Struthio camelus: one gene and its partners. Each later gene encodes a partner of the first gene's protein in a complex. Links are inferred from orthologs where the notes say so. Each region holds a gene or a part of one and is shown on either strand. Other genes may lie near its edges.

Region 1 (10,218 bases):
TCTAGACATTGGTTTTCTGTCACAAAACAGCTAAAATAACTTTTTTTAAAGTACAGCCTCTCTATCCCTGTTAATTAACTGCCCTTGTTTAAGCAAAGAAAAGGACAATGTTTTTCTCAGAAAACATTATCTATTTGAAGCATCGCTTTGCACCTAACAGAGGCAAGCATCAACGTTTTTAAACTTGCTAAAAGATGACCCTATGCTCTTCAGTGCTTTATACTACACTTAACGTCAAATCTCTTATTCAGTTGTGCCAGAACACATTGCTAAGTACAAAAACACCGAGCAGACCAATCAAGGCACCAATTTTTACCCAGCCTAAACAATATTAAAGAAAGAGGAAGGAAGGAAGAAAACAAAACAAAAAAAAAAAAACAAGCACATCAAAAATTTCTGCAGGCAAACTGCATCTTCTGGATAGAGGCAGAGTACAAGAACACTGTTGTGTTCCAGAGTGGTAAAGTTTGTTTTCCGCAAATATCCTGATACCATAGCCTACAGAGATCATTCTGCAGTATTTTCTCCTTAACGCGAAGTCCAAGGAGATTTAATAAACTTTAGTTATTCTACAAATGCAATATACTAGTCCTTACTTCTGGGTTAACCACCCACTGATATTTCTAGGGATAGCCCATGTGAACATAAGTTTATCCCAAAATCTGTTAACTCTGGTTAAATGCAGAATTTGGTCTTTCATACATTTTCTTAATGACAACATCCTTGCAGTGTAAATAAGTCTGTCAAAGTACTTGAAATCTTCAAACCTTTTCAGAGCAGAAAGATGTTTTAAGAAGATAACTCTTCATGCGAAATCTTTAGCAAAACTACACACATCTGAAACGTAATTCAGAACAGTGTCCACAAATACTTGAGAGTCATCTTATTATGTGATAACAACAACTGTGGCTAGAAAAGCAACCTTCAAAACGGTGGAAGTTGGGGGAGGGAGACTTAATTTCTACAGAAACACGAGGTTGTCAGTTCCTGCTTGTTAGGTTCTCATATGCCCTGTATGATAACACTCCTTACAGAACTTCCTAAAAACACATTTAACCCTATGCACACGCACTAGATTCTCCAGTAAACAGTAAGGCATTATCCTTCAAAGTTACCTAATACAACTTCTTTAAAATGTTATTAGGTGAAGTGTATCTGAGTAAGAAAAGCAAGTCTAAACATGAAAAAGACTTAGGTGTGATCTAATTTCATATGCTGCAAATGAGAAGTATTTCAGATTTAATCTCATTAGTCTGCATTTCTTTTGAAAAAAATAAGAAGAGTTTGGATTTGGAAGACCTTTGTTCTAGGCGGGGAGGGTGGGAATAAAAAGGAGCACGTCGATCGCCTTTCAAAATACGTCTCTCTCAATACTTTTTATCCATTGTTCTCACAAGCAATAAAGTAAGCGACAGTAGGTCGGGGGGCTATTGCTGCGTTTCCCCAACGCAAGCCTTCAACAGTTAACAACAGTTTCGCAATTTCCATTGGTCTTTTTACACTTGGAAAAGCATGGGGGGGGGGGAAGAGAGAGAGACAGAGGGACATAACTAGAAGAAAAGATCCTGAGGGGACAGGTGTACTTCTCACTGCTCGTTTTCAGACGATTTTACAAGGCGATCGCGCCCTGCGGCGGGGAAGCTCGATCGCTGTCCAGCCCCGGCCCCGGCCGACAGGTGCAGCGCCCCCCCCGCTCCGCCCGGCCCGGCCCCGGCGGCGGGGCCCAGGGCCTGCGCCCGGCGGCCGCCGCGCTCCCCCCCGCCGCGGGCGCGCAGGGCCAACGGCGGGGCTCGCGAGCCATTTCCAACCGGGTCAGCAGCGACTCGCCCCGCCGCCAGTCCCGCCGAGGGCGGGGCGAGGGCGGCCGTGGGCGGCGCTGACGGCCCGGCCCGGCCGCGCACCGGGAAGAAGGGGTTAAGTGCGCCGGCACAGCCAGGGGGGCGGCCGGGGAGCCGCGCCGAGCGGGCTCCGCAGGCGGCGCCCCCCGCCCAGCTGCTACGACAACAATGGTGCGGCTGGCACATGTCAGGCGGCGGGGGCCGCCGCTTCCCCGCGGCGCCGTTTGAACGCAACGCAACGCGGCCCGGCCCGCGCCGCGGCCGTTGGCGGCCCGTTCCGCCGGCAGCGGGCGGCTGCCGGCGCGGGGGCCGGGCCGCGGCCTAGCGCCGTCCGCCGCCGACATGCGGCTGCCCACGGGGGAAGGGGAGGCCGAGCCGCGGGCAGATCCTCGCTGCCGCCCGCTCCCTCCCACACGCTCAACTTTCACTTCCCCGCCGCCGGCCGGGGGCAGGGGCGAGGGCGACGCCGCACGGGGCCGCGCGCGCCCTGCGCGGTGCGGGGGGGGGGGGGGAGGAAGCGGCCAAGGAGCTCCCCCCTCCCCATGAGGGAAGGGAGGCGGGGGGGAGGGGGTCTCGGCACACCCCGCCGAGGAGGGGAAGGGATTCCCTCTGCCCGGAGCAAGAGATCCGCCCTCTCCCCCCACCCCCCTCGGGAGGGCACGGGCTCGGCGCCGGCCCCCCCCCCCCGGCTCCCCGCGGCGCTGCCGGGGAATCCCCTCCCCTCCCTTCCCCTCCCAGGTGTCAGCCGTTCCGGGGGTTAAACTGCTCCTGCCCTCGCGGCAGCGGGGGGGGAGGACGCGACATGACACGACACACAAGGGCCGAGCGGGAGGGAGGGAGGGCAAGGCTCGTCTCTTACTCGTAGTCCCTGAAGATCTCGTTAGTGACCCTGCAGTAGAAAACGCGCTCGTCCGGCCGGAGGTCGGCGGGGGGCTTCTCCCTCACGAAGGGCTTTCGGTGCAGCAGCGGCATCGCCCCACTCCGTGCTCTCCTTCCTGCCCCGGGACCCGCTTCAAATTGGAGGGAAAAAGACGGAGAGAGGGAGGGAGGAAGGAAGGAAGAAGGGAGGGAGAGAGTGAGTGAGTGAGTGCGAGCCGCGGCGGCCCCCGGCCCGGGGAGGAGGGAGCGGGGCCCGGCGTGTCCCTCCCCCCAGGGGAGCAGGAGCGGGAGCAAGCGGCGGCGGCGGCGGCAGCCTTTTGTGTGCCTGACACGCCGCTGCCTGCCTGGGACTGAGCGAGGAGCGAGCGGCGGCTCCTTCCTCCCCCCGCCTCCTCCTCCTGCCTCACAATGGGGCCGTGACGCCGAGCAGCAGGCGGAGGCGGCTCCCCCCCCCCCCCCCGCCGCGGCCGCCCGCCCGCCCGCCTGCGCCACACAACGTGCTCGGCTCGGGGATACCCCGGCTGCCGCCGTCGCGCTTTGTCTCCGCCGGTTCCCCTGCCCCCGGGTCACCCCTTTCCCCCGCCTCTGACCCGCGCACGCCGCGCCGGACACCAACTTCCACTCCTCCGCCCCGCAGAGCAAACAGCCAGCGCGGGCAGCGCCGATGGCTTATCTGCCTCCTTCGCTTCCTGCCGGGCCGGTACCGGAGCGGGGTCCTCGAGCCTTTCCGCCCCGCCGCGGCCGGGCGGCTCCCGCCGGGCTGCCCGCACCGCTCCGCGCCGCGCCGGGCTCGGCTGCCCCCCGCCCGCCTGCCCGCCCGGCGGCCGGGGCTCGGCTGCCCACCTGGTGCGTGGGGAGGCGCCCCTCGCTGCTTCTCTTCCTTTTTCGCTGCCGCCGCCTCCCCCCCCCCCACCAAGCTCCTGGGAAGTTTTTGATCTACTTCTGCAAGCCCTCAATCAGGAAGAGCTGCTGGGAGGAGCTTTCCACTTCTCTCCCCTACATCTTTATTGGCCGCTCGGTGCCTTCCAGCGTGTGTCACACAGGAAGACAGAGAGCTACATTATTAATTAATGGCTGAGAGGACTCATCCTCCATTTTTGAATTATCAGCCTAAAGATCTACAGCGCGGCGGGGAGGCCGGGCCGGGCCGGCGGCGGGGAGAGCGCGGCCCTTTGCGCGGTGCGCGGCGCCGGGCCCGGCGGGGCGGCGCAGGGGCGCGGAGCGGAGCGCGGCCGCCGCCGGCCCCAGCGGTAGCAGCGGGCGGCACCGCGAAGCGCCGGCCGCGCACCCGGCGAGCCCGCTGCCGCCCGCAGCGCGCCGGCACAAACCTGCTCCGCACGGCTGTTTTGTGCTGCCGAGGCACCAAGGTTTCCGCGTTTGGTAGTACAATGACAAGAGGCTTTTCCCCTTCCTTGGCTCCTTAAAAAGCCAAGGGATATAGTGCTATCACAGTGTAACTACAATAGGGGCACGATTTGCCTGAAATTAAGATCAGCTATTCATAACATTGTGCGTAAGAGTTGTACGTGGGCCCCTAAACAATGCTGCGCTTTTCCCCAGCTACTTGAAAATGTCAGTGTACTTACCACTGTATTCATTTTCATTACTTTTTATTATTACCTTAATGCGTTTACAGTGCCACTGGTAATTAACATTGGGATGTTAACTTAATTTTGATCTTAAGAGTGCTAGCCAGCTTAAAGACATAAAAACGCAGAAATTCCCCATCTGTTGTAGTGCATCATGTAAGGTCCAGACCTGCAGACACACAAAATAATTGTAGACGTTCTGTAGAATTATTCACGAGCAAAAATGTTTTATTTGAAGGCTGACAGCTAAACAGAAGTTTACAGCTGAAAACTCTGTTCATGCAAATAAAAGGTCCTGTGCTGTCCCCTGCACCTGTGCATAGCTGTTTTCATTACCACTGCCAGGAAAGGCAGTGATCTGCATTACTACGACCTGTCTGACTAAAACCTAAATGAATCTTTACAGTCAAACTGTTGAATTACTTTTTTTCAAAAGTGATCAGGTTTTAATCAAAGGCACTGAGAACTGTTAATGCTCATTTCTTCTTACAAAATAGTAAGCCTGAGCAAAATATTTACAAAAATATTTACAAAATATTAAGCCTGAGATACAAAACAGGTAATGCATAAGTCCCTCTAATTCCTACCAGTTTATTTTCATTTGTGAGATATCTTCACTTTCAGTTTTAAGTTAATTTCTAGCAAAGAGCATAAGTGCAAATTTAGTTAACGCTCTTTTAACGTATCTAACGTCTCTTGTAATTTTTAGCTAGTTTTGCATCAAAGCCACACAGCAGGCTAGGGTTGTGACATTTAGTGTTGCCAGCTCTATGATTACAGTGCAAGTTTTGCAACGTTTAGGTTTTTTTTAAGCTCTTGCTCTTCAGCAGATGTCAGTAAACGGGAACCTCAGTTTTCATTAAAAACAATTACATTTCTCTACCTCAAGTCTGAGAGGAAGGTTTTAATATGTGAGCCTGCAAGGCTCATAAATCAGAAGGGAAATAGAAGCCCTTGGTGTATACTTTTTTAAAAGTCATTATTTTTAAGCCCGTATCATGATATTTGGGAACTTGGGTGATTTTTTTAATGCTTGGATTGTCAGCACAGCATTATTTTAGAACTAGTTGGTATCCATGAAAAATGCATGAGTTGATAGAACTGTGACATCAAAAGCAAATTCCCTTTTCCTTTTTGCTCTCTCTTGCCCTCTTTCTCTTTTCCTCTCACCTTTTCCTCCTCCTCTGGTTCTTCCCCTCTCATTATTTTCTCAGTGGTTTTCCAATGAACAGATCTTCGCTGAGTAATAGGGTTGCATTATGTTTTCGTATTCTTAGGGTACAGAGGAGCAGTTCATGTAGTTTTCATCTTTGAATCCAGCTCTGTCCTTCAAAATCCACTAAATCAGGTTCTGATTCTGCTCTCGATAAGGTCAGCAGGAACAAGAACAATTTTTATTAACACTGGCTAACGTTGACTAAGTGGGCATAGAGATTTCAGTAGAAATTAATTCTGAGAAACCTGAAAAAAAAATACTTTCCTTCCATGGAAATATTTATTGTATTTGTTACATTGTACTTAATTGCTATAATCATTTGTTCTTTACAACACATCACTGAAATAATAGTTTTCAGACAAGAATTATTATTGATGTAACAAAGTGGCAAAAAACACATTGCTTCTGTTTTTTAAATTATGATTCACGCACTGAGAGCTATACTAAATGGATTTCTCTAGCCAATGAAGTTGCTATTCTCATTCGTAGAACTTTAAAAGCAGTTGTACTGAGAACATAAAATCTTATAAAATACTTGGGCTCTTTGCCTTACAGCAGTAGAACAATTTCCTAGGAGCACCATCGGCCCAGGCTCAAACCCCAAACTTGTCCTTCAAGGCTCTCCACAATTCTGCTCATTGTTCATTTCTGTGCACTTGCTCTTTGCTTTATCAAAGATTTGTTTCCTTGTCCTATCCTTATCTTCCCGTCTTTAACGCACCAAAGGCTGATTGACAGAGAGATACTCCAAAATATTTTTATTCAGATCAACCATTACCAAATAATTCCATGTGTGACTATTTTTTTCCAGGAAGAAGTGGAACAAATGGAATTATTTTAGTATAGCTTTGCCACTTTAAATTCACACCTAACTTTATACTGGAATAACTAATATTTAGCTAAATCATACACTTGGAACCATACAAAAATACAGGTTTTACTCAATCTGTTTTACCTGTACTATCATGCAATCGCGAGGGTTTTTTCTGTAGCGAATGTTTAGCCACTTGCTTGCCTGCTCTTTTGTTGGTGGGGTTTTTTTTCCCCAAAAGTTGCTACTTTGTTCTCTCAGAGTCTCACGGAAGTCAGAGAAAATTTTTCCAAGAACTTCACTGGACTGTGAATGAGACTCTAGATTCTCAATGCTAATTTCTGTAAAAAAAAGCATGTTTGAAAAGACAAGCTTGAATAATGAACTAATTTGTGTAAATGATACATCGCTAGTGAGTTGTTCAGCCAAATGACAACGAGACATAATTTAATACCAATACTCTCAACCCTTTTCTCTGTTGCTTGAAGAATGTACACAAGGAGAGGAAAAGTATAACAAATATGTGTGCATCGACTCATTTTAATGCACTGAGTAGATTAATTTGGGGATAGTATCACCACTTTTCTTTCTGAATGCTATTTTGGAAATATTTTCCTTCCATAATGCAAACAAACCTTAGATTACTTTCTTAAAGAGTAAGGCACACAGCAAAAACACTTTATTTATCTGATTATGCATTTTACAACTTACTGATACAGTTTCTATGCATCTTTTACCCTTTCTCCGCCACCTTGCTGAGCATTTACTCTTTTGATCATATATCTTTATTTAAACTACGTGAGCAAAGACAATGTGGTGGTTTTATCAATAAATTCCAGCTGTGTGTAACAGTAACATTTGGTCTATTGTCTTTTACTGGCTGTGAAGCGCTCTGCTCAGTTTTTAATAACATACTCACTTATTAATAACATACTTCAGCCAAAAAGGAAGAGATACACAGATGACTTTTCACAACATGTTCCATTTTTCTTTCATTTTAGCTCAATTGTATTTCAGCATGCTTTTAAAGCAGTTCTGTAATCAAAAGGGATAGTAGGTTCCTTATTCTGCAGCTGCTGGATGCATTCAACACTTGTTGCTTTCACATGAGTCACAAAAATAGGAGGAAAGAAAGAAAAAATTCCTAATGTTGAATGAATTTTTGGTATTTTCAAATTTTGTCTAGTTTCTTAGTAGCCTTAGCCCAGCTATACCTTACTTGCAAACGCAGATCCAATCTTTGGTTCTTTTACTATAATACATTATAGGGCGATAAGTCATGGCCAGAGACTACACTGCCTACTGCTCAGGTTAAATACCACCTAATACGACAGGGCCCGTCCCTCAAGAAAGTCCTCTGGGAGTACTGTGATGTTTCTTATACCATCAGAGTTATTCTACAGGAAGAGTTATTCTGCGTCCTTCTTTTTTTTTTACAGTTTAATATGATTTAGGCATACAGTCCTCACTGCGTTTGATGGATATTGCATGCTTAACTGCCATGCAACTCCAGAAATTAAGAGATATATCCCTTTAAGGTTTACTTTAATCATATCCCATTTTTCTTTCTCAGAAAGGCCTATTAAGGCTATTTAAACTGATAACCTTATACTAGCGAGGAGGAACTCTGACCTCATCTACTCGGCAGCTATGACCGTGTATGATTGGCCTCTGACCTGATTACAAAATGATAAAATGATGTTGTGAAACTGCTATTCATTTCCCAATAGTGTCTCTGAAACCAGCTTAAACTCTTGAGAGGACTGGTACTGCATTTTCTTGTTTTCAGTTGCAATGCACAGGATACAGCATATTGACACTACTGTAATTGTCTGACACTAAAATATGCTGAATCTCTCATTGCTAACCAATATTTAGAATGAAAGATGAATCATTTTGAATGCATGATAGGTGAATTTGCTATTTTCTGCTATAAATGAACATTTTCACTACTAGAGTGATGTATGGTATTTTAGAATAGATTTAAATATCTTGCCTCAACCTACTTGAGATCCGCATCTGAATGAGATATTCTTTATGCACTTACATTTAAGATTAAGAACACTAGAACTGTATAACACTAACGTAGCATTTACTAAGATGTTGCATCAACCTCATGTGAATTAATTAGATTGAGCACATCTCTGTCCAGCTGCTGAGTAGAACCAATAATTTCAAGAATGCTGCATTACTTTGTGATTTGGTTAGATGGCTAAACACTCCCAACATTTTTTTAGTAAGATGGAGATGAGGCAAATCTGTTTGCGTATTGAAAGATATCCCATGCAGTGTAGTTGTTATTTAGGAGCACATAAACAGAAGTGGGTCCAGGAGCTGATCCTGCTTATTTAGTCAAAGATTACAGTGATGATCCAAGCTGAAACACTTAATTCTACTCAAGTACACGCCATGTCGGATTGTCATTGAGTCATTTGACAAATGTAATGACTCACCACTATGACTAGTATCCTGATTTATCTCATCCATTTAATATGAGACTCCTTTGGCCCCCACCTTATTTTCCTCTGTCTTCCTACTCATCTCTCATACAGGGCTTTAGGAAGGATGAGGCAAAGAAATAACTATTTAGGCACTATTCTGATGGTGCATGCCAAATAAGTGCAGACTGGAAGAAGCCAGTAGCTGCTTGAGCCCCAGCTTGGCTAGACTGGGACTCTGGCTGTCTCCCCATATGACATGGCTCACGCTAGTAGTGGTATACACCAGTGGAGCGGAGCATACCGTACCGTGCTGCTCACGCACTGGCATACATACTGGCCACCCCTTCAGCCCAGGCGGACGAAGGCAGGAGTAAATGACATCTTGCCATGGATGCAAAATAAGCTACACCTCTGATTTAATGCTTTCGCAGGGCTCTGCTGGAGCCTCTCTCCTTTCCCTAACTGCTTGTGGCAACACGGTGCTGGCACAGTGCTCTGAGCCTGCTATGTTGAGTGCTAAAGCTGGCGCGCAGCCCATCGTCCAGCGTACATCCCAGCCACAGAATATATTGCACAGAGGGATGCCACGCTCAAAGAGCTCCTCTGAGAGGAGGACTCCTGCTAGCCACAGCCTACATGATGATTCTCCCTCCTCACACAGATCCATACACAGGCATGTGTTGGGTGTATACCACTGTCACACGATGCCCATGTTGGGGCCTCACACACAGGAGAAATTAAGGTATTGATGGAATTTCTGCATTTCTTAAAAGCCAGGCACTTGTGAATGTGTCTGCTTATATAGAGAACATGCATGTAGAGCAGAACTGAAGGAAAAACAGCTTAAAAGTTGAAAAATCCAGTGCATGCTTTGGTCTTGCCTGCTTCGGAAGACTTAGGACAGCTAGAAAGTTAGTAGGATTGTTATAGTGTAGTTGCTAAGGATACAAACATTCATAGCAAGGAAGAAAATTATCTCTAGTCAGTTTAAACCTTTTTGGTTTTAGTACCGATTCAGTGCAACATTTGATAGAAAGAAATTGCTAAAGATTCAGTAACTTGTGAATAAAGAACTGAATATTATTTCGTTTGTAATTGCCACTCCTCCAGGAGTTTCATAAACAAAAAGCAAAAACAAGATTTCACAATTCTAAAATCACATTCCGATATGGATGTTAGCATATTTGAGACCTCATTCAGTACAACCCCACAGTGTGGACATAGATGTAATTTTATAAAAATGCTTCTATCTGTATAGCTTATTGTCATATAGGAACATCTTCTAGTGCTGCAATCAGTCTTTATCAACTCTGAATGCACACACGTTTAGGGTTGAATTGGTATAAATATTGCAGTTTAATTTTTGTTTTAATTTTCACCCTAGTTATCATAATTGCAAATTGTCATCAAAATTGTATGTAAATCTAGGTTTATAGACAAAGAC
Region 2 (9,677 bases), on another chromosome or scaffold:
CCAAAGAGAGGGATGAAAATGAGTTGAATTACCTCCAAGTTTAACTTTTCTAAAACAATTTTTAGAACTAGTTATTATACAAACACTTTCGGGATAATAGAAAATACAGTTAACTACTAGCTTTGGACAGAAAATGTCATTTAAGTTAATTATTGTTAATATGGCCTCCTTACAGCTCACTATTCAGGAGACCTTGTCACAAGTATATTGCTGGAGAAAGATTAAAGGATTTGGGAAGGGTCATAGGAGCACAAACCTACTTCCAACACACAAACGTTATATATAAATGCAGACAAATGAATGCTCTTAAACCATTTAGGATGATAATTACTTGAATAACCTGAACACATGTATTTCCCAGTGACAAGTCAAAAGCCTCTGTGAAAAAAAAGGAGCTGGGGATTTCTCAGCTGACAGTTAGGTGTCTCTCCTTAGAAAGCACCGCATTTATTAGCTTCACAGATGCATGTGAAGACACAAGGGACGTAATGCAAACTCACTTCTTTGCACATTACTGGCCTCTTGACAACTATGGAGAGAACTGGAAATCAACACTCAGCTACCAGACTTTTCTGTAACAGTTTTACTTTTAAAAAAAATACATCCCTGCTTACAAAACACCCAAAACCTCTCCCAACCTCACTTTACGAAGCTGTTTATTTTTGTATTCCACAGTAATCCAGGAGAGCAGACACGTTTCCCCGGATGTCACATTCTCTTCCAGCATGCTACTCATTTTCCCCCTAAGGCACTGAAAAACTGGCCACTGTAGGACAATGTGTCACAGCATTAGGTTCTGTCACAATGGGAGTTTAAGACAGAAATCTCTCGTCTTCGCAGCTAGCATATAGTTTAATAGTTTTAGCTATATTCTAGAAAATAGCTCACTGTGGGAATCAATTGTGACTGAAAAATTCAGCCTGATAAGGACTGTAGATTGAAACGGTAACTTCAATAGCATTAACACTTATTTGAAGATTATGGACAAGCAATTGCTTGGTGTGAACTGGTGTGAATTGATTTAACAGTAATTCAGGGATAATACAGATGAAACTACAAATGGAGCCATTCTGTTTCAGAAAGAATACAAAGGTAGGAAGCTGCACACCCCTTTCGGGAGGGAAGATAGCCATAGTCAAGCTTAGCCAAATTTAGGATGGAGAGGGTAGAGGGTGACAGTTTTAAATAAACAAAGTAATCATTTTTTGTTCACATACTTTTGCCAGGAACGTGACTGGGAGCATTTCTCACAGGAACATGATTGCTACATTTATTTCTACAATAACGATGCAGGTACTTCACTTTGTACTTTGTTGTGGTATCAGCGATACCAAAGCACCTTAAAGGTTTGGGCTCAGCTGAACAGAGCCAATGCTGATCGTTACTCATGAATCTACTCTGTACCCTTGGTTGGAGAGGGGTTCAGACACGCTTTTGACGTAGTTCATCTCAGCAGTCTGTTGTTGTTTCACACTTTTTTCTTGCAAGACAAAAAGGTGATGGTGATAAATGGCTTGCAGAAAGGCAGAGTTACGATTAATGTAAATTGGAGCATCTAATATTTTAGCATCTCTAGGAAATTATTTAGATTGAGGCTGTGTAAACACAGTGATCTAGAGCTTTGACACTGCTGTTAAGCTACTCAGTCTCCTGATACCCTCCAGGTTGTGGGTATATAATGTCCTGCATAATCCCAGGTGGTGGAGCGAGTCTGAAGAGAAGTTACCTAAATGGGCATCTATCAAAATCGGAAATGGAAGATCAGACTTGGCATTTTTTGCCTGAAAACCTGGCTCCCATTCAAACATTTCTGAAGCTGAAAATCTTCATCCTTTCAGCTTTTCTAACGGAGGAACTCCTACACTGAGAGTCTTACCTGAAACTTCAAAATGGTTAGGCATATTAGTGACCACTGTCAATTCAATCATTTTCTATTTGCATTTGTGCATTAACATCTACTTTACCAACGGCTCAGATTTATCTCCAAGTATGATACAGCCTTATACATCCCCACTCAATAACACGTCATCAAATGCCTTCAGAATCACTTTTTTTTTTCCTCGTGCAAGACAACGCTTCTGCTTCATCATAAACTTCGTTATAAACTGTTCTCATTATTTGTGAATGCTACTTCCGTATCGCTGTGCTTCAGATGCCAAGAACACTACTGCAGCATAGTTAATGTCTTTTGTGATGGTATGCATTTCATGATAAACAGCTTTTTATTTTAATATATCTTTACATTTACTGTAGCATGTGCCAATTGCTTATCCAGATACTGCGTTTATGCTTTGCCAGATTGACTTCTGCTTCCTCCCTTGTTCGCTGACTCACACACATTTTTTCACTGGTCCAGCACTTTCCTACTGTTCTTCACAACATAATGGTCAATGTCAATAGTCTTTTTTCTGATTACAGATCATAAATAATTTACTCTCTAATTACTCTCAATGCTCTTAAATGTGCATGGGCTGGTTTTAAAATGCCACTTTGCAACATAATGGTCAATTTTTTTAGCTATGCTCCACTTTTGTGTAAAGAAAATGTATTCGTGAACTTCTTTGGCTTTGCCAAGCAATGTGAATGTGCAGTCTTCATCACAGTCTCTCTGGAATAACTGGAAGAGCTTCAGTGCAGCTAGAATTGCTTCATGCTCTTTCTATAATATATTTGCTCTTTATCCGATAATACTCTAACTTATCTCAGTGACGTTTGGAAATTCTGCAGACACCTTCTCCAGATTCCCTTCCATGGGGAATTGTGATACATCATGTTTATCATGATTTTTCTTTTAATACCATACAATAAAGGAATGATACAGGAAAGCATTTTTCAAAGATACAGCACTCTTTTCTAGTTTCAGGCAGCTCACTAGTACATATGAATGAGTTCTGTCCCTGTTTGAGCAGGCCAACTATTCACTGAGAGGAAGCTTTACTACCACAATAGCTCTACTTCCACTCAGTATAGGACAGGAGAAGTCAAATTGGTAAATTAGGGAGTCAAATCAGTAATTTTCTTCAGTTAGGTTCTGTTTCAGATTCAGCCCATGAATTTGTTACAGTTTTGTTCTGGTTCAGAACACTAATAGTTCATACCAGTAACCTGGGATTTATATGCACTGCGTCACAGATAATGAATTAAAATAGCCATGCTACAGGGTGAGACCGCAGCAAGGAAAATTACCCCAGCCTCCTTTTCTGCCAAAGCTTGCACAATACCTATACTGTTAACACAGTGCTGCAGCATCTCTCCAGTTCCCTAAAAAGGAAACCGAGGTTGAGAAGCTCGACAGAAACTGTGGCATTGCACTGCGCAGGAAGGAAATGAGAGAGAGGGATGAGCACAACGTGTCTAATCTCTTCTCTTTTCCTGGGAAATACGTCCATACACAACCCAGAGATACATATTTAGAGTGAAACAAGTGAGATCGCTGCAGGGAAGCTCAGGTAGGCAGGTGGCAGTGACAAGGAACAATTCCTTACTATGGGACAAGAATTGTAGCTCTGGTCACTCCATTGTGTTTCCAGACACAGCGTAGTTATACCTCACCTGAGGTGCCAAAGTACCTCCACTGAGCAGGTTCTTATTCAAGGCCGCAAAGCACAGCAAAAAGGAGGACTAGTGACCCAAGCAGGAGTAGAAAAGGAGAGACTGATGTGACAGTGCTCTGCAGTTTGTAATTGGTACAAATAGTCTCTATGCTGAAGAGATTTCCACTGGGGCATATTAGTTTTCAGTGAAACTTGTTCGAATTCATCACAAAAGATACTTATTTCAGCTGGGTTCCAAGTCAGGTTTAAAGAATAATTCCTAGTAACAGTGCCAGTTCAGTCCTGATTCAAAAGAACTAACTCTAGTTTGAACTCTACAGATCTGTGGGTGGTTTTTTTTTTTTTTTTTTTAATTAGGAACAGGTTCAGTCAGTTACTGGTACCACAGTAATGCTGCCATTTCAAAACGTACTAAAAAAATAATTATTAAGTGCCAGTAACGTTGCAGTATAATGGTATCCTCAGAGCGTGTACACATCCACTTTGTGTCATGCATTGTGCTTCTGCCTCCTGCGAACCAAATCTGCATTAGCAGTGGGAAGGGAGAGATGCCAGAAGTTTGCTGTGCTCCCACTCCCGTCCTCTGTCAGTCGAACGCCCTCCTCTTCCCAGCACCGTGCTGAATGACAGAGCTGTCCCATGGGCCCTGACTCTGGGAGCAGTGGGTGGGTGAAGGGAAAAGCCTGAGAGTGGGACAGGAGCCAGACAAAAACGAGCACGTCCCGATTTGCCCAGACCACTTTACGCTACATTGTCCACCACTGAGTAAAAGGACCACTGACAGGTGCCTAGCTCCTATAGGATCTACATGGCTCCTAAACCCATATCCAGATGGCTCAACACCATCAGAAATTTTGGTAGTTTCATGGGTAACTTCATATACTGAAATCATGAAAGATACCAGCAGAATTCACTGTCATGGCAATGTCAACTGTTTCCACAAGATGTCACAAGTAGATAAGGATCAAAGAAACTGAGCCTGCAAAATAGCATCATACTATGTTATGCTTCGCTTTAGCTGTAACTGCCACAGAATAGCATCAACAAAGTTGTAACCTCAAGGGATCTTTGCAGTCTAAGAGATTTAGATTGTCTTTAAAGACTAATAGGAAAAGACGTCTCCAAATATTGTAGTGCTGGAACTGTCACATCACCCTTGCACTCAGGTATCGACATGTGCTGAAGATGTTATTTTTCATTAATAACCCAACATCACCTGTATGAAAACCTTGTCCTTATGTACTGGGCAAAACCTGCATCAGCTGATTATATCCTGCTAACAAATTCCCTGCATTTTCAATTTAATACAATTCTCTTTACTGACACTTCCCTTTCTGCCCCAAACTCGACACGTACTATTTCTGCACGCCGTGGAAAAGCCTCTACGCGTCTATTAAGCGGCGATCAAATAAGTGACCTTAGCAGACTTCTTACCAACACACGCAATCAGGCACACTGCTCGTAAAGCGCACTGAAAACTTTTGAATAAAGACACTAAGGAAACGCAAACAGCGCGTTATCCTTTCCGCGAGCGCCGAGTTGCTCGCGGAGAGGCAGAGTACGGCAGGTCTCATCCTCACAGGCACGCGCGAACTTTCCGGTCCAGCCTTATCAGCAGCAAAACCCTCCCTGCCTTCGGTGGGCCTGAGCGGACGCCAGCCGCTGGGAAGCGGGATACGAGTCACCCGAGCAGAGACGCACCGCGGTACGCTCCTGCACAGGCCGAACGTGTTAATAACAAAGACACTGCCCTATTATCACTTAATACCTTCCACGGGCCCTCCGCATCTAAATACCTCCCACGAGCGTCACAGCCCTCCCTCTGACTGTCCCTACAGCAGCTGAGGCGGTATTTAGCCACCTGCGATTACAGATCCGTGAATAATTTGGTAGCCAGTGGCCTGTAATTAGGGTAGACAGAGGCGGGGCTGCTCCCGAAGCTCAAGCGCCCGCCTGGGGCTACGACCCGCGCGGAGGGGCCGCGGGAGGGAGCAGGGCACCAGCCGGCGCCGAGAGAAGCCCCCTCCCGGGCCCGGGGAAGGGGAACCCCGACGGCGGGGCCGGGCCGAGCTCTGAGGAACCAACGGCGCCGCCGCCGCCGCCGCCGCCATCGCCTCAGGGCCCGCGGTGCATCACGGGAAGAACGCTCCTCCCGCGGGAGGCGCGGTGCACGGCGGGACTTGTAGTCCTTCCCCCTCCTCTCCTCGGCGGGCGGAGCGGTGCCTCATGGGATTTGTAGTCCAAGCCTCGCTGCTTAGCCGCGGGGCGCGGCGTTCCCTCTAGTGGCCGAAGACTACAGTTCCCAGCAGGCTGTGCTGCAGAGGCCGCCTATTCCCCCCCCCCCCCAAATCCCCGCCCGCCCGCGGCCGGGTTTGGAGGGCCGGCGCCGGTCGGAGGCCAGGCGGGGTTGGGGGTGGGGGAGGAGGAGGAGGAGGGGAAGATGGCGGCGCGGTTGAGCGGCGGCGAGAACCGGCTGGTGTCGCTGCCCCTTTCGCGCATCCGCGTGATCATGAAGAGCTCGCCGGAGGTTTCCAGCATCAACCAAGACGCTCTTTTCCTCACCGCCAAGGCCACGGTACCGGTCGCCCCTTTCACCTCCCCTCCCGGGCCGGGCCCGGTTGTGAGGGGGGGGGGCCGGGCCCAACGGCGCCGCCGCCGCCGCCGCAGCAGCTCTCGCTGCCTCCCTCCGGCCCTTTCCTACCCGCGCAAGCGGGAGGTGAAGCCTCGCCCTCCTGGCTGCTTGTCGTGTGGGGGGTTTGGGCGCCGTCCGCTGCGGCCGAGCCGCCAGGGCCCGCGGGAGCCAGCGTTTCCACCGCGCTCAGGAAACGAGCCCGTGTGGAGGCCGCCTCCTGCCGCTTTCCCCTCCCGCCTGCGGCTTGCTGGGCTGCGGGAGGCCCTGGCGAGCAGCGCGAGTGAAGTTCCCTCAGCTACATCCTGACCTTGAGCCTTTCTGAAATCCGTGGGACTCTGCGCAGGGCGTCCCACAATACGTACGGTTGAGCAAAGGGCGTTAAGTGGGGATTAACGACAACTGCTACCAACTCTATGTATTAATTCACTGCTTGACTGTTGACTTCGTTTTGATTTTTAGGAGCTTTTTGTACAGTATTTGGCTACCTACTCCTACAAGCATGGCAGAGGCAAGGAGAAGAGCGCTCTAACTTACAGTGACCTGTCTCACACCGCGGAAGAGTGTGAAACCTTTCAGTTCCTTGCAGGTATCTGTAGAGTAATAGTGAATCCAGGATGTAGTTTGGAAAATGAAACGGTGCTGTCACAGAAGCGTTCTGTGAGGACACGATTCTCCTACTGGTTGTTAGTGTCCTGTACAGCATTCGACTGTACCTCATGAACTACATCACTGAAAACACTTCTTTGCAAAAGAATGGGTATTTTTCCAGTGCTGGGAAACTACACAAGGCCTGTTAGTCCTCTGTGTATTGCTCTATCCGTTTCTTAGATGCAAACAACGCAATCTGAAAGCTTTCAAGCCTATAAAATGAGATCACTTTAGGTCTTTCTGTGTCAACTTCTGTTATCCCAGAAACTACAGATGTAAATCTACAAATCTTAATTCTCAAAGAGAGTCATTCTCTGGTTCCACTCCCCCTTTTTAGTGTGTAAGTATATGTGTGCACGCACATATACATTTTTTGCTGGTACTGAGATTTTTGTTTTAACACTTAGCTCAGAACAGATATGGGAAAAGGATATGGGTTGAGGATGAGATGTACCTAGCCCAGTTTTTCTCCGAGCACCTTATGGGCATGCTTTCAGAGCATGCAGTCCTGTTTTGTCACAGGTCCATCATTATTGCCCTGAACAATACCTTCCTTGAGTACAGAAAAACAATTTCCACAGAACATAAATGGGATGGCTATCCAGTTAAATGAGCACTCATTTTTATTTGATGTAAAAGTAAAATGAAGTGATTAGGTAGTAAAGAGAGTGGTCTGTAATCAGTTTTATAACATATATTCCTCATCTTTGATTACTTGTACCTTAAGTGGGCAATTCCCTCCTTTTCTCACAGCTTGTTCATAAGCCAGAGTGAATAATCTGGTTAGTCGCTAAAAGTATAATAACTTTTCAAAATTGCCTCTGTTGGACTTTGTTTCAGTAATGATATGGATGCAACAGTATTTATGAGATAATTTAAGTATTCAAACTTTCTATAGAAGAAGCAATTCTACCTTTCAGATATCTTACCAAAGAAGATCCTCGCTAGCAAATACCTAAAAATGCTTGAAAAAGAGAAGCGAGATGGAGAAGTGAGGGAAAATGACGAAGAGGATGAGGAGGAAGATGATGATGAAGAAGAAAGTGTTGAAGATGTTGGATCTTAAGGCTAATGGAGAATTACTTCATAGTTAATCAATTTTCTGTTGTATAAAGGATGCTATTTTTGTGACTGAAAATCCATATGCTGGATATATTTATACACTGAGCCATCTGCTTTTGCTTTAAGAAGTTTAGAAATTGAACTTTATCCCTGCTGAAGAATGGAATTCTTCTCTCAGACGCATGATGGGGAAAGAAGAGTTGTTGTAAATCTGACAGCAGAACTTGCTCAGACGATTTAAAATGACTTCTTCAGACAATCGTTATCCAAATTTAAAACGTCTTATGGGCAATGCAGCTTTCAGTCCAAAGGCTCTTTCTCCCTCCAACCAGGAGTCCTCCACCACTTTCTCTTTCCTCAGAGAGGAAAATGAGGGGAGGAGAGACTTCTTACGCAATGTCCTCTGCCTCCCTAAGTAGACAATAACTGATCAAACCTTCCCCCAGTTCTCTGGAAACGTGCCAGGGCATTAGCAGTGGACCAAGCCCATCTAAAACAAAACAAAACCCCCCAAAAACCGCTTCTGTAATGCAGCTTAAATAGCCACGTCTGCACAGAAATGAGCTAGAGGTTCAGATCCATTCCGATAGCTGATGTGGCTCTGCGGCCAGCAGTAAAAAGTAGATGTGTTAGATAATGATGTAAATATGTATATCTAGAATCTTTTTTTCTAGTGAAGTCTCTACTTCTGCAATTTGTCTGTGGTTTCCTACCAAAATGGACATTGTTTTAAGTTTATTGAATGTGGATTGTTGAGTGGCAAGAGAATTAGCAACTGTTTTACCATTTGAGCGGTAGAGCTGGATTTTTTCTTTTTTTTTTTTTAAACTACAGAAATGGTGACAGTCCTGTGTAGAACTTTGTATGCAACTTTTTAAGGAAAATAAATGTTTTATATGAAAAGTGACAGTTAATGCAGAGGCTTTCTACAGTTCTTTCCAGCTTCAGTCACGTCCCTGGTTAACGTATGAGCCTAGTATGCTTGCTGTTCATCTTTCCAGAAAGGAAAGGGGGGGGGGGGGGCAAAGAGCTATGCGATGCTTGGAGCAATCGTCTGAGGTGTTCTCTATTAGCAATGCTAACTAGATTTAGTCTGCTTTGGGAGCCTCACCACTGTTAGCCAAGGGTCTCTCTAATGTTTAGTCAGAAAGAAACTGAACTGACTAACATGTCTCTCTAGATGGAGGGAGGTTAAGAGAAGAATGCTTCTTGTGTTCCACTACCTACCTCGCAGACACTTACCGAAACCAAGCTCTGTTCTCCCTAAGCATGGAAAAAGGTTAAGGAACTAATTCTCCACATCCAATAAGCCAGGCAGCAACCTGCCCTTAACCAGGAAATGAGAGGTGTCATACAACACACTAATTTGGATGGTATGGCAAAGAGTTGCCTGCTAATTATTCATGCTGTATCCTCCCTGTCAGGATAACACTACCAGCTTGTCCCAGGCTGAAGGCTCAAGTATGCTGAGATATGTAAATTATGTCTGAGCAGTTGGGGGGTGGGGGGGGAACCAAACAGAGACATGCTCACGCTCAAAAGCTGTTGAACTTACTTAACTGTTTGGCTCAGTTTTAGAAGACCTGGGGTTTTGCCAGGCGTAGATCATAAGGGCCAATATCAGTGACTTGATAGTAAAGGTGCCCAAGCAGCCCCGCGTGGAGGTGAGCACCTCCCATTGCTCACAGTTTGCAGGGGACTGATCATGGCTGGATTTTGGCACTCAAGACGAGCTGCTGCTCAGCTTGCCAAGTGAGCGCGCCCACTGACTTTCGTTAGGT
Region 3 (9,572 bases), on another chromosome or scaffold:
TTCTGAATAGATTCGCTGAGCACACACAGTGTTGCAGATATAGTTTCATGACCGTTCCAATCTCTGCAGCGGTCAGAAAGACACTGAATGATCTATCGTTATTCGATGCAAACCACTGAACACCAGATGCTCTGACGGATAGTATTTTTCTTGGTTACGTCTTTGAAAGAGTCTAAGCGCTCCACACAAAGGCATCATTGCTCAATTTCCAGAAACTTAAGGATATGCTACAAATTTCAGTAAATAGACACACTTTTAACCACTCTGACCTGTCTCCCCAAAAGCCAAAAACACTCACTTTTCCAATGTTATTCAAGACCATGAAGCTGAACTGTCTAGGTGAGATAACGTTTGACCCTGCTGCAGAGTTCAAGCCTGGGAAAATACGTCTTTCTGAACTGGAATACAAATAGAAGTGAGATTCATGGTGAGAAAAATGCTAAAGAACAGTATGAAAAGCAAATTAGAGGTTACCCTACAGGTTTCCTTTTCAAAGCACTTCTCAAAGAGAATTAACAAAGCCAGCATTAATGGAACACTTGGCCCATGCAGCTGAAATAGCTCCTTAATTCCGTCTGTGAACAAATAATTTGTGCTCATATCATTCTTGTGTCAGAAGGGAAAGTCTTTTCAATCAGTAGAATTTTAGCCTGAGGATGTTTTTTTTTTTTTGATAACTAGAACCTCTGAATCAGTTTATGATAAAAGGGACCCTAGGGAACAGTTTTGATTTTGACACTGGGATAGCTAGAGTGGTTTGAGCTTTGAGGATGCAACAGTTGGATTAGAAAGCCTTAGTCAGAGATGATCTAGCCTTAGAACAACTGAGTTCAGAAGGGGAGTGTGTGAGCGACATCTATATGCCAACGTATTCCACTGGGAACTGGGCTCCTCTTTGTTTCTAGGCTATTTTTACTTTAGGGAAAGGAAAGAGGGAATGTTTTGAGACATTAGAGCTAAGTTTCAGGACAGAAGTATAAAGAATAAAGCTCGTTTTCTTTAAAAACAGGATACCGTCGAGAGTTTAAAATTCTTATTCTATAATGAAAAAGAAAAGAATGCAGACCAGCAAGGGCCAGTCTATGACAAATTTAAACTAGTAAAAGTAAGTACTGTAACAACATCCCATGCCATGGAAGCCACTCGGATCCGAGCTGTGTGTTCAGCTTCCAGAGCAGCTGGTCCCTTCCTGTTTTGTTACAGACATGGAGCTAATGGGACACACACTTAACTCTGGCCTTGAGCACTTTACTGTCCCCTCTGACTCATGCTCTGTGATAACTTACTCTGTGAATAGCTCCACAGCAGTTTAGGGTGGATCCAGTTAGTACTAATGAGGGGAAAGAGGTGTGAATTGACTCACCAGCCTACAGGGGTTATGAACATACTCAACCATTTGCCGATTCTATACCACCATATGGGCATACACATTTAATTAGGACTTGTGTTTCTTCAAGAATTTTATTGCACCGATCTTAATAGGGCTTCAGTACCAACAGAGACTATATATGCACTCCACAGTGACTACTATACAGAAATAATCTGTACTTCAAATTTTTTATTTATTTGGTCTTAATGATACAGAAGCATCGTTTTCAAGGAAATAAACTTAAGCAAGACTCAACCATTACTGCTAACAGTGTATTCTACACAGTACAAACAACATTTTGTAAGCTGTGTCCACTACAGCTGAACCTAATGTTTCTGTGAGCTCTTTGAGGAAAAAAACACAAAAAAACCCCAAAAAACAAAAAAAACCCAAAAACAAAAAAAAAAAACAAAAAAACAAGCTATCACCTTCATGCCTGCCCTTACTGCAGGCTTAAAACTCACAGATGGATGTTCAGAGCCATTCACCTGACAGCACTATCTTCCTCCGAACTCTCTTGAAGCACAGAATTTAGAAGAGAGGGTGCAGCAGAGATGGAGAAAGTTCTGTGACACTTGGAACATTGGACGCATCTTCTCAAAGACTTGCTGGGGGGGATATTTACTATTTTCAGCGTTGGAAATTCATCTAAGAAAAGTAAAGCAAATGCAAGGTGAACATCAAGGATCTGATAAGTAAAAACTGCGTGCAGTGTTTAATAACTGTTTACTGCCACTGAAGACACAACAGCTCCATTGGTGTATTAGCCCCATTTATAGTAGCCAGAATTTCTAGCTAAGGAAACAATAATTCACCTTATAGCAACCGTGATTCTTGGAGAAGTTCTCTACGTGCAGATCATACTCCTAGGGCCCAAAGTGCCAAAAATGCAAGAAATCACCACCTTCTACACCACAGCATTTTCTGAGCCGTGCATGAGCCCTGCAGAGCCTCAACCCGCCATTCTAAGGGCAAGAAGGTTAGTGCAGTATCAACCACCAGTCACCTCCTTTGCTGCTCAGAGTCTCCATTAAAGGACTCTGTGAAGCTACAGAAGAGAAGGGCACTTTGTCAGACTGCTCTGTACAGTGTATCTCGAGGAATTACAGTAACATAAGTATAACAACTCTTTCTTCTTAATTATCTGTCCATAGCGACCCCATTCTTGCTGGTAGGCAGCAGAAACCCCCTTAAGAAGATGACAGCAAGTTTTGTCAAACACTGATGAATCACTTGGGTAAACAGGAGATCAGACCCACAGGCAAACACTAGGAAGTAGTGATCAAAGAGTGTACACAGGGAGCTCCAAGCAGCTGATATGCAAACCTCATTTACAAAGACTTTCCTGAAGCGTGTTAGAGGACCTAGGGTGGAATTGGAATGAAACCTGCTACTAGCTTATGGACATATACTTAAGGAAAAATGCATGTTGAAGACTGAGTACCTAAATTTAACAAGAAACCATTGAAACAAGCTGCCAAGGAAAGTAACTCTGGCTTTCTTGATATCAGCTAATCAAGGTTAGTTACCTTAGGGAAGAGATGCTTTATTTGAACAAGCTATTGAGATAAATCCTGAAGGGCATGAATACATTATACAGGTCGGACTAGGCAATCTAATGTTTGCTTCCAGCTTTAAAAATCCAAAAATCTGTGAACAGTCTTCAACTTCACTAGCTACCTCATGTGAAAACTGAAAATTTCCTTGACTTCACTAGGATTTCAAGTTAGTTATCTCAAATGCAAGAATGCTCTTTTCCCTTCTTCTGTGAAGATAATAATTTAACCAAAACTTTACCTTTGCTTTCCAAAAACGTTCTAGAAATTGAATCAGAATTTCTTAAACGGATCCGAGGATGTCCCTCTTCAATCCTCCTTAGTGTATCCCAGCATTGTGGATGCTGACAAATAACCTTATCACAAATAGTTTCGTCCCACTGGCTTACATCTGCAGTCATCCTTTTTGCAACCGCTCCAGTATGAAGGGAGAGTGGTAAGATGGTATCATCGATTTAAATACTCTGCAAAACAGAAAATTAGTGCATATTAATTTAGCAGAAGAAAACAAACCTGAATACATATACAGTATAACGTTAAAAATAACCACATTGCAGGGTGGGGATCAAATCACAGGCTGCCCTCAGGCACATCCATCCTAGGTCATGACAAGCTGACAACCTGCCATTGTACCCTGTCACTCCAGAGCTTTGATATCATAGTTCCTTTCTAGTCTCATCTAGCTGTAACATGCAAAGCATGTAACATGTAAAATGTGACCTGCAGTAGTAAACTTCACTGTTACAAGTCACATTTTACACTGGTACAATAATTTCTCCTTGTGGCTTTGGAATATCTACAGTGACATAAGAGCAGTGGTTTGGCTATGCTAGCCAGTGCGGAAAAGCAAAAAAGCGGGAGACAATATCACCATTACATGCCTCAAAGAAAACGCAGGTTAATTATTACTTTAATAGATACAGCGTCGACCCTCTAGACGTTGTAGTTAAAAACAAGCACACCTTTTTATCTCAGTTATTTCACTGGTGACCAAAGCATCCAAGAAAGAAGAGAGTCCATCATGTCAGAAAGATATACGCCTCTTCATGATGAGAAGCATCTAGAAGAGGTTCATGAGAGCAGCAGCTTTGGGCTGTACCTCTGTCTGGCCTTGGGCCAGCACCATTTCTGTTTCTACGCCAGTCCACCCCCCTCACCAGAAAACAACATAACTGTGTCTTGCTTTCTTCTCAAATTAGAAAAGGTGTGTACAAAAGACAACCTCGCCTCTGGCGAAATAAAAAACAAAACAAGCCACAATGGCTTCTAATGACTCTTCTAACAACAGCGAGCAGCCAGCCAACTCAGAAGTCTGTATTAGCACCATCTATTACACTTACAAACGGACCAGTTACAGTCTCTCATTACTTTCATTAGAAACTAATCCAACACCTGCTACAGCATCTTGTCTCTGCGTGCCATAAAGCATCCATACAGTTAACAGTAGAATACATTAAAAGGTGCTAAAAATGAGATTCAAGAGACATGATTTGTACATACAGGTGATAGCTTTTATTAATCCAACCAGTACAACTGGAAACGTAATCACGTCCTCAGGCAAACAAGCCTTTCTTCAGGTCTGACCTTTCTACACCGAAGATGTTGCGTACTATTCCCAGAATACCATCAGGTGTAAAATAAGCTCCAATCTTTACATATAAATTGGTCACGTAAACATCCACAAGCTACTGTTGGAAAACGTACACTTTGCATGGAGAAAAGATGCATTGACCATTAACACTCCCAATTTCAAAAATGACCTCTGACACCACACCAGATTAATCCACTGCCTTCTAACACTCTGAGTTTACTTCAATTACCTTGTCAGGCTATCAAAAGCGATAAAACCTGATGAAATCAACTGAAGAGAAATTGAGGCGCGGCGTTACGCGTCGGGGGCCGGGGTCCGCGGGGAAGCGACACCTTCGCCGAAGGCACGCTCGGCACGGCCTGGCGCCCCAAGGCCCAGGCTGCCCACGAGGCCCCGCGCCGCAGCCACATCCCCGCGCCAGCGCAGCGCTCAAGCGCGCGCCCCAGGCTCGCCGCCAGGGCTGGCGAGGCGAAGGCCCCCAGGGCGAGCCACGGCCGGGCGAGGAGGCCCCCGCGCGGATGCCATGCAGCCCAAGGCGTGCCCTCACGAGGCCGGAAACCGGTGGGCGGGCCGGGCACCTGCCTCACGGGCTCCCCCCAGGCTCTCGCCCCCCTGCGCCTGATCCCTCACCAACCCCCCAGGCTCCCACGACCTGCCCCAGGCCCTGCTCCCTGCCCTGAGCTCCCACAAACTGCCCCTGTCCGCAGCCCCCGAGTCCCACGACCTGCCCCCGGCCCTGCTCCCTCACCTCAGGCTCCCACAAACTGCCCCTGTCCCCCCACCCTGGAGCCCCATGAACTGCCCCCATCACCCACCGCCCTCCAACTCCTCCTGCCCCGCTCTCACTCCCGCCATCCCCACCCCGCAGGCGCCCCGCCCTGCCTCCTTAGCCCCGCCCACGGCAGCCCGGGCCCCGCCCACCACGCCCGGGCCCGCCCCGGGCCCCTCGAGCCCCGCCCCCTGGACGCACCCCCTCTCCGCCCCCCCTTGGCCCCGCCCCCCTACGCCGCGCGCCGCGTGCCCGTGCCCGCCGGTGCCGCCAGGCTCCCGCGCCCCCGGGCCTGAGTCGCCGCCGGCGGCGGCAGCCCGTCTCCTCGTTACCGGGCGGGCGCTGCCTACCGGCCAACGGCCGCGCTCGGGGCGCGCGGCGGCGGCCGCGGGGCAGGCCGGGAAGGGGCGCGCTGCACGCTGGGAGGGGTCAGAGGTGAGAGGGCAGCGGCTGGGCGCGCGGTTCGGTGCGGCGGCCGCCGGCACGCGGCGAGGTACCGCGGGCGCCGGGCCGGGCCGGGCCGCACCTCCCCCCCCGCCCTCCCCCGGCACCGGGCGGCCCCGGCGAGTGACGCTCCCGTTTGCCTTGCAGGTGGCGCAGGATGGCGGAGAGACCCGAGGACCTGAACCTGCCCAACGCCGTCATCACCCGCATCATCAAGGAGGCGGTGGGCGCGGCGGCGCGGGCCGGGCCGGGCCGGGCCGGGGAGGCGGCAGGGCTCGGCAGCGGGGCCCCGGCCTCGGGGCGCTTCCTGGCGAGCCGGGGGGCCTCCGCTCACCGCGGAGCTCGGGGCCCGCGTTCCGCCGCCCCAGGGCGAGGGCAGCGCCGGTTCCCGGGCCGCGTCCCCTCGGCGGTCCGGCGGCGGGGCAGTCGGCCGTCGGCGGCCCCGGCGAGCGAGGGACGGGGGTGGGTGGGTGCCAGCAGACAGACTCCTCCGGAGCAGCCCCCCGCGGCAGTTTCTTTATTCCACGTCTTTGCTGCCCTCTCGAATTCCCCAAACGTGCCCGGGTGCCGGGAACAGCTTGTCCGGGGAGAGCGGTGGGCGCAGCCTCCCGTGCCGTCACGCGTGTTGTGCACCTGTGAGGAAACCTGTGAGGAAAAGATCGGCCCCCAGCCCAGTTTTCCAGGTGTCAGGAGTAACGATCCAGACTCTGAAATCCTACGGTAGAGGCAGGAGCGATGGGGCAGTGAGAACCCTGTCTTCCTAAACCAGCTCCCAGAACAAAATCAGAGCAGAAACAGATGAGGGCTCAAGTGCAATTTCTTTTCTGTGTAGAAGCCTAGAGTAAGTCTTAGTTATTAAGTTAATGATATGATGATCTTAAGCTATGAGGCGTCAATGCATGAGTTTGGATATTGCTGGATGATTGTTCTGCATCAAGAATTTGATAGTGATCAGATGAATCGCCACTGAGATGATGGCCAGACCCACTGCTGATGCAGAATTTACTTTCCTTTTATGTAGCTTAGATCATCGTTAACTTTCAGCTACTATCAAACTTTCTGTAATAACATCTGAGATAAATAAATCTTTCCACGTTTGCAGTCATGCTGAGCTCTCTGAAAGCTTTAGCTGAGCTGACACGTGAATTATGCAGTCTTGAGCCATTTATAGCAGCTACTGATAAAACTCGAATTTGCTTTTCAGCTTCCTGATGGAGTAAATATTTCTAAAGAAGCTCGGAGCGCAATATCTCGAGCGGCAAGTGTGTTTGTGCTCTATGCAACATCATGGTAAGAAGTGGTTGGATCAGATCACCAGTGCAGTTGATTTATAACTAGCCTCTCTGTTGGCTCTCCTGGAAATGATTTTTTCAATGCGCTAGTGAAGTGTTGACTGTTTATATGAATAAAACAATCTTCAGCCTAGCCCAGTCCATCAGATTGCAGCAGTCAGATTTGGACTGTCCTGTACAAACTGAGGGAAGACAGATATGACTCTGTAGACGAAGGTGTCTTCCTACCCCGTGAGGAATAAGAGCGGCCCCCACACTGTCCTCTGGCCTTGGAGCATGGCTGTATGGTATTTCCAGGCAAATGCGAAAGACCTTTGCTCACTTTCCAGGCTCTCCACGTAGCTGCGTTAGGACTAAGCCTGAGACAACCATAGGCTGCCTTGGAGCTGATCCCAGAGGATACAGTAACCTCTTTTGGGTGGCTGGGTATATGGCCATGTGTATATGCTCAGAATATGCTGTGCAGACAGTCACTGCTCTGGTTTTAAGTACTCACCCAGATTATGGAAACATGAACAGTCAATGTAAACAAGAAAATATCTTTATTACAGTAAATCAGCTATAGTATGTGGTAAGAACAACTGAATGTTTAGGAGATCACTTTTGGGGGCGGAGGGGGGGAAGTTGTTTGTGACCTTAAGAAGCAAGAATAAATTGATAGTTATTATCTCTGTTCTCCTTGTTTTTGACTAGTGCAAATAACTTTGCAATGAAAGGGAAGAGGAAAACACTGAATGCTGGTGATGTTCTCTCTGCCATGGAGGAAATGGAGTTTCAGCGATTTGTAGCCCCTTTAAAAGAATCACTGGAAGGTACTGGTCTCAGTTCATGTCAAGGGAGTCTAAGTAGCACCAAGTCCTACTTTCCTAGAAGGTTCGACAAGCAACGCTTATTTCCCTGTCTTGTTTCTCTTTTCTTTGCCCAGCATCCTACACTGCAGTTTGCCTGGGGAATAAATAATGTGCACCTTAACAGGACTGGGATAACATTATTTCACAACTGATGAGGATTGGGAAAGTCTCATCTGATATCATTCCCCTATTATGTTTGTCTAAGGAAAGTCTTAGGTGCTGCCTGTAAATGGGAACTCCTGCGTCCTTTTCAGCATATTTCTGCTGAACAGCACTTAACCTGATTTCCTATGGAGCTGCTCAGCACAGCTCAAATAATAGGGTGAGTTGCTGCTCTGAATTCACTGCTCCTGTTGTAACCCTGGAGAGCAAGTGGGCATTGGACTTCAGCTGCTCTACTATTCATACAGTGGATAGCCTGCAAATTTTCAGTGTTTTTTTTTTTTTTTTTAGTTTACAGACGTGAACAGAAAGGAAAGAAAGAAGCAAGAAAAGATAAAGACAAGAAGGCAGACTCAGAAGAGCAAGATAAGAGCCGAGAGGAAGAGAATGATGACGACGACGAAAGAATGGAGGAAGAAGAGCAAAATGAGGAGGAAGAGGTGGACAACTAAGCTTTCTGATGAGACGTGTGCGGGAGTTGGGCTCTGTTCGTAGGGATATAAATGCTGTAAATCAATTTTGCTGTGTCCCCTCTTGGTTTCCAGTAGAGCTTTGTACTGTTCCTCTGGGGCCCATCCCCTTTTGGCTTTGACTTGTATATAAAGGACTTCTACAGCTTTTCTAGTGGAAGGACCACCTCCTCCCTGTGCACGTGGAACTTGGCGCTCTCGCCAGATTCTGACCCAAACAGTAATGACTGGGTAAAAAGACTGGGGTTCTTATGCAGGGTTGGCTCTGAAATACAGCAAAAGGAAATGTTAGATTCTCACTACAGAAACTGGTCGGGAGAACATGAGGAAACTGTTGAATAAGTTTGTTAAACCAAGTCGGAAGCTGAATTGAGTAGGTTATAACTTTTGAGTTACAGAAACTGCCTGATGATGTTAAGAGAGACACCTTCACGTCTCAAAAGCTGAACGTTTAAGAGTTTTATCCAAGTGACTTCATTTTCCCTTCATTTTCTTGCCTTCTGGCTGCGCCTTCTCTTTCTGCTGTGACACTGATAATGTGGTTTACAACCTCACCAGTTGTATGCAGTGATACAGAACTGACTTGCTGCCCAGAATCAATCCAAATCAAAAGAACTTTGCTGCAATTATAATGTAAACTAAATACCAAAAGTGCTTGTTTTATATCTTTTAAAGACCCTGGGAGACCAAGAGCAATTTTATTAAAAATCTGAAGCAAAATTAAGAGCTAAGATGTGTTGTGTATCAGCAATGATGCAACGTTGTATCAAGTGGTACATTTGTTGCAGGTCAGCAGAGGGCACCCGTGGATCTGATGGTCTCCCCACCTCTCCTCCCTTTGCAGAGTTGCAGTTCCTTCTGCAGACAGGTTGTGATTGCAGCAAGTTTACATGTGGTATTAGAATAGATTGGTTGGGGGTTTGAGGGGGGTTTATTTTTTCAAATTGGAATGGGCTAACTACATTGAACTAAGGTCCTCCTTTAGCCTTTTTAGTACAAGCTACCCAAAGCTATTCAAAAGATGCAGTCTGCCTCCAGATGTGATGGGCTCTAGGAGTGCAGTGAGGA

Evidence for each region.
Region 2: BAZ1A (region 1) and CHRAC1 share a complex: the UniProt entries of both Homo sapiens proteins name them as parts of the CHRAC ISWI chromatin remodeling complex. The link is inferred for Struthio camelus from reciprocal best matches to the Homo sapiens genes BAZ1A and CHRAC1.
Region 3: BAZ1A (region 1) and POLE3 share a complex: the UniProt entries of both Homo sapiens proteins name them as parts of the CHRAC ISWI chromatin remodeling complex. The link is inferred for Struthio camelus from reciprocal best matches to the Homo sapiens genes BAZ1A and POLE3.

Annotation. Positions count from the first base shown.
Region 1 is NC_090946.1:55,198,630-55,208,847, forward strand, and holds the start of BAZ1A (bromodomain adjacent to zinc finger domain protein 1A), read right to left. Parts: upstream 3,896-10,218; 5' UTR 3,561-3,895; intron 3,496-3,560; exon of another isoform or gene 3,308-3,495; intron 2,849-3,307; 5' UTR 2,811-2,848; coding exon 2,698-2,810; intron 1-2,697. UniProt on the Homo sapiens protein: Regulatory subunit of the ATP-dependent ACF-1 and ACF-5 ISWI chromatin remodeling complexes, which form ordered nucleosome arrays on chromatin and slide edge- and center-positioned histone octamers away from their original location on the DNA template to facilitate access to DNA during DNA-templated processes such as DNA replication, transcription, and repair.
Region 2 is NC_090943.1:168,238,826-168,248,502, forward strand, and holds CHRAC1 (chromatin accessibility complex protein 1), read left to right. Parts: upstream 1-5,913; 5' UTR 5,914-5,994; coding exon 5,995-6,129; intron 6,130-6,645; coding exon 6,646-6,772; intron 6,773-7,754; coding exon 7,755-7,900; 3' UTR 7,901-8,810; downstream 8,811-9,677. UniProt on the Homo sapiens protein: Forms a complex with DNA polymerase epsilon subunit POLE3 and binds naked DNA, which is then incorporated into chromatin, aided by the nucleosome remodeling activity of ISWI/SNF2H and ACF1.
Region 3 is NC_090961.1:12,218,753-12,228,324, reverse strand, and holds POLE3 (DNA polymerase epsilon subunit 3), read left to right. Parts: upstream 1-5,526; 5' UTR 5,527-5,720; exon of another isoform or gene 5,721-5,778; intron 5,779-5,876; 5' UTR 5,877-5,886; coding exon 5,887-5,952; intron 5,953-6,933; coding exon 6,934-7,019; intron 7,020-7,714; coding exon 7,715-7,833; intron 7,834-8,325; coding exon 8,326-8,486; 3' UTR 8,487-9,228; downstream 9,229-9,572. Other genes in the region: C20H9orf43 (uncharacterized protein C9orf43 homolog), read right to left, coding at 299-398, 1,858-2,017, 3,167-3,326. UniProt on the Homo sapiens protein: Accessory component of the DNA polymerase epsilon complex. Participates in DNA repair and in chromosomal DNA replication.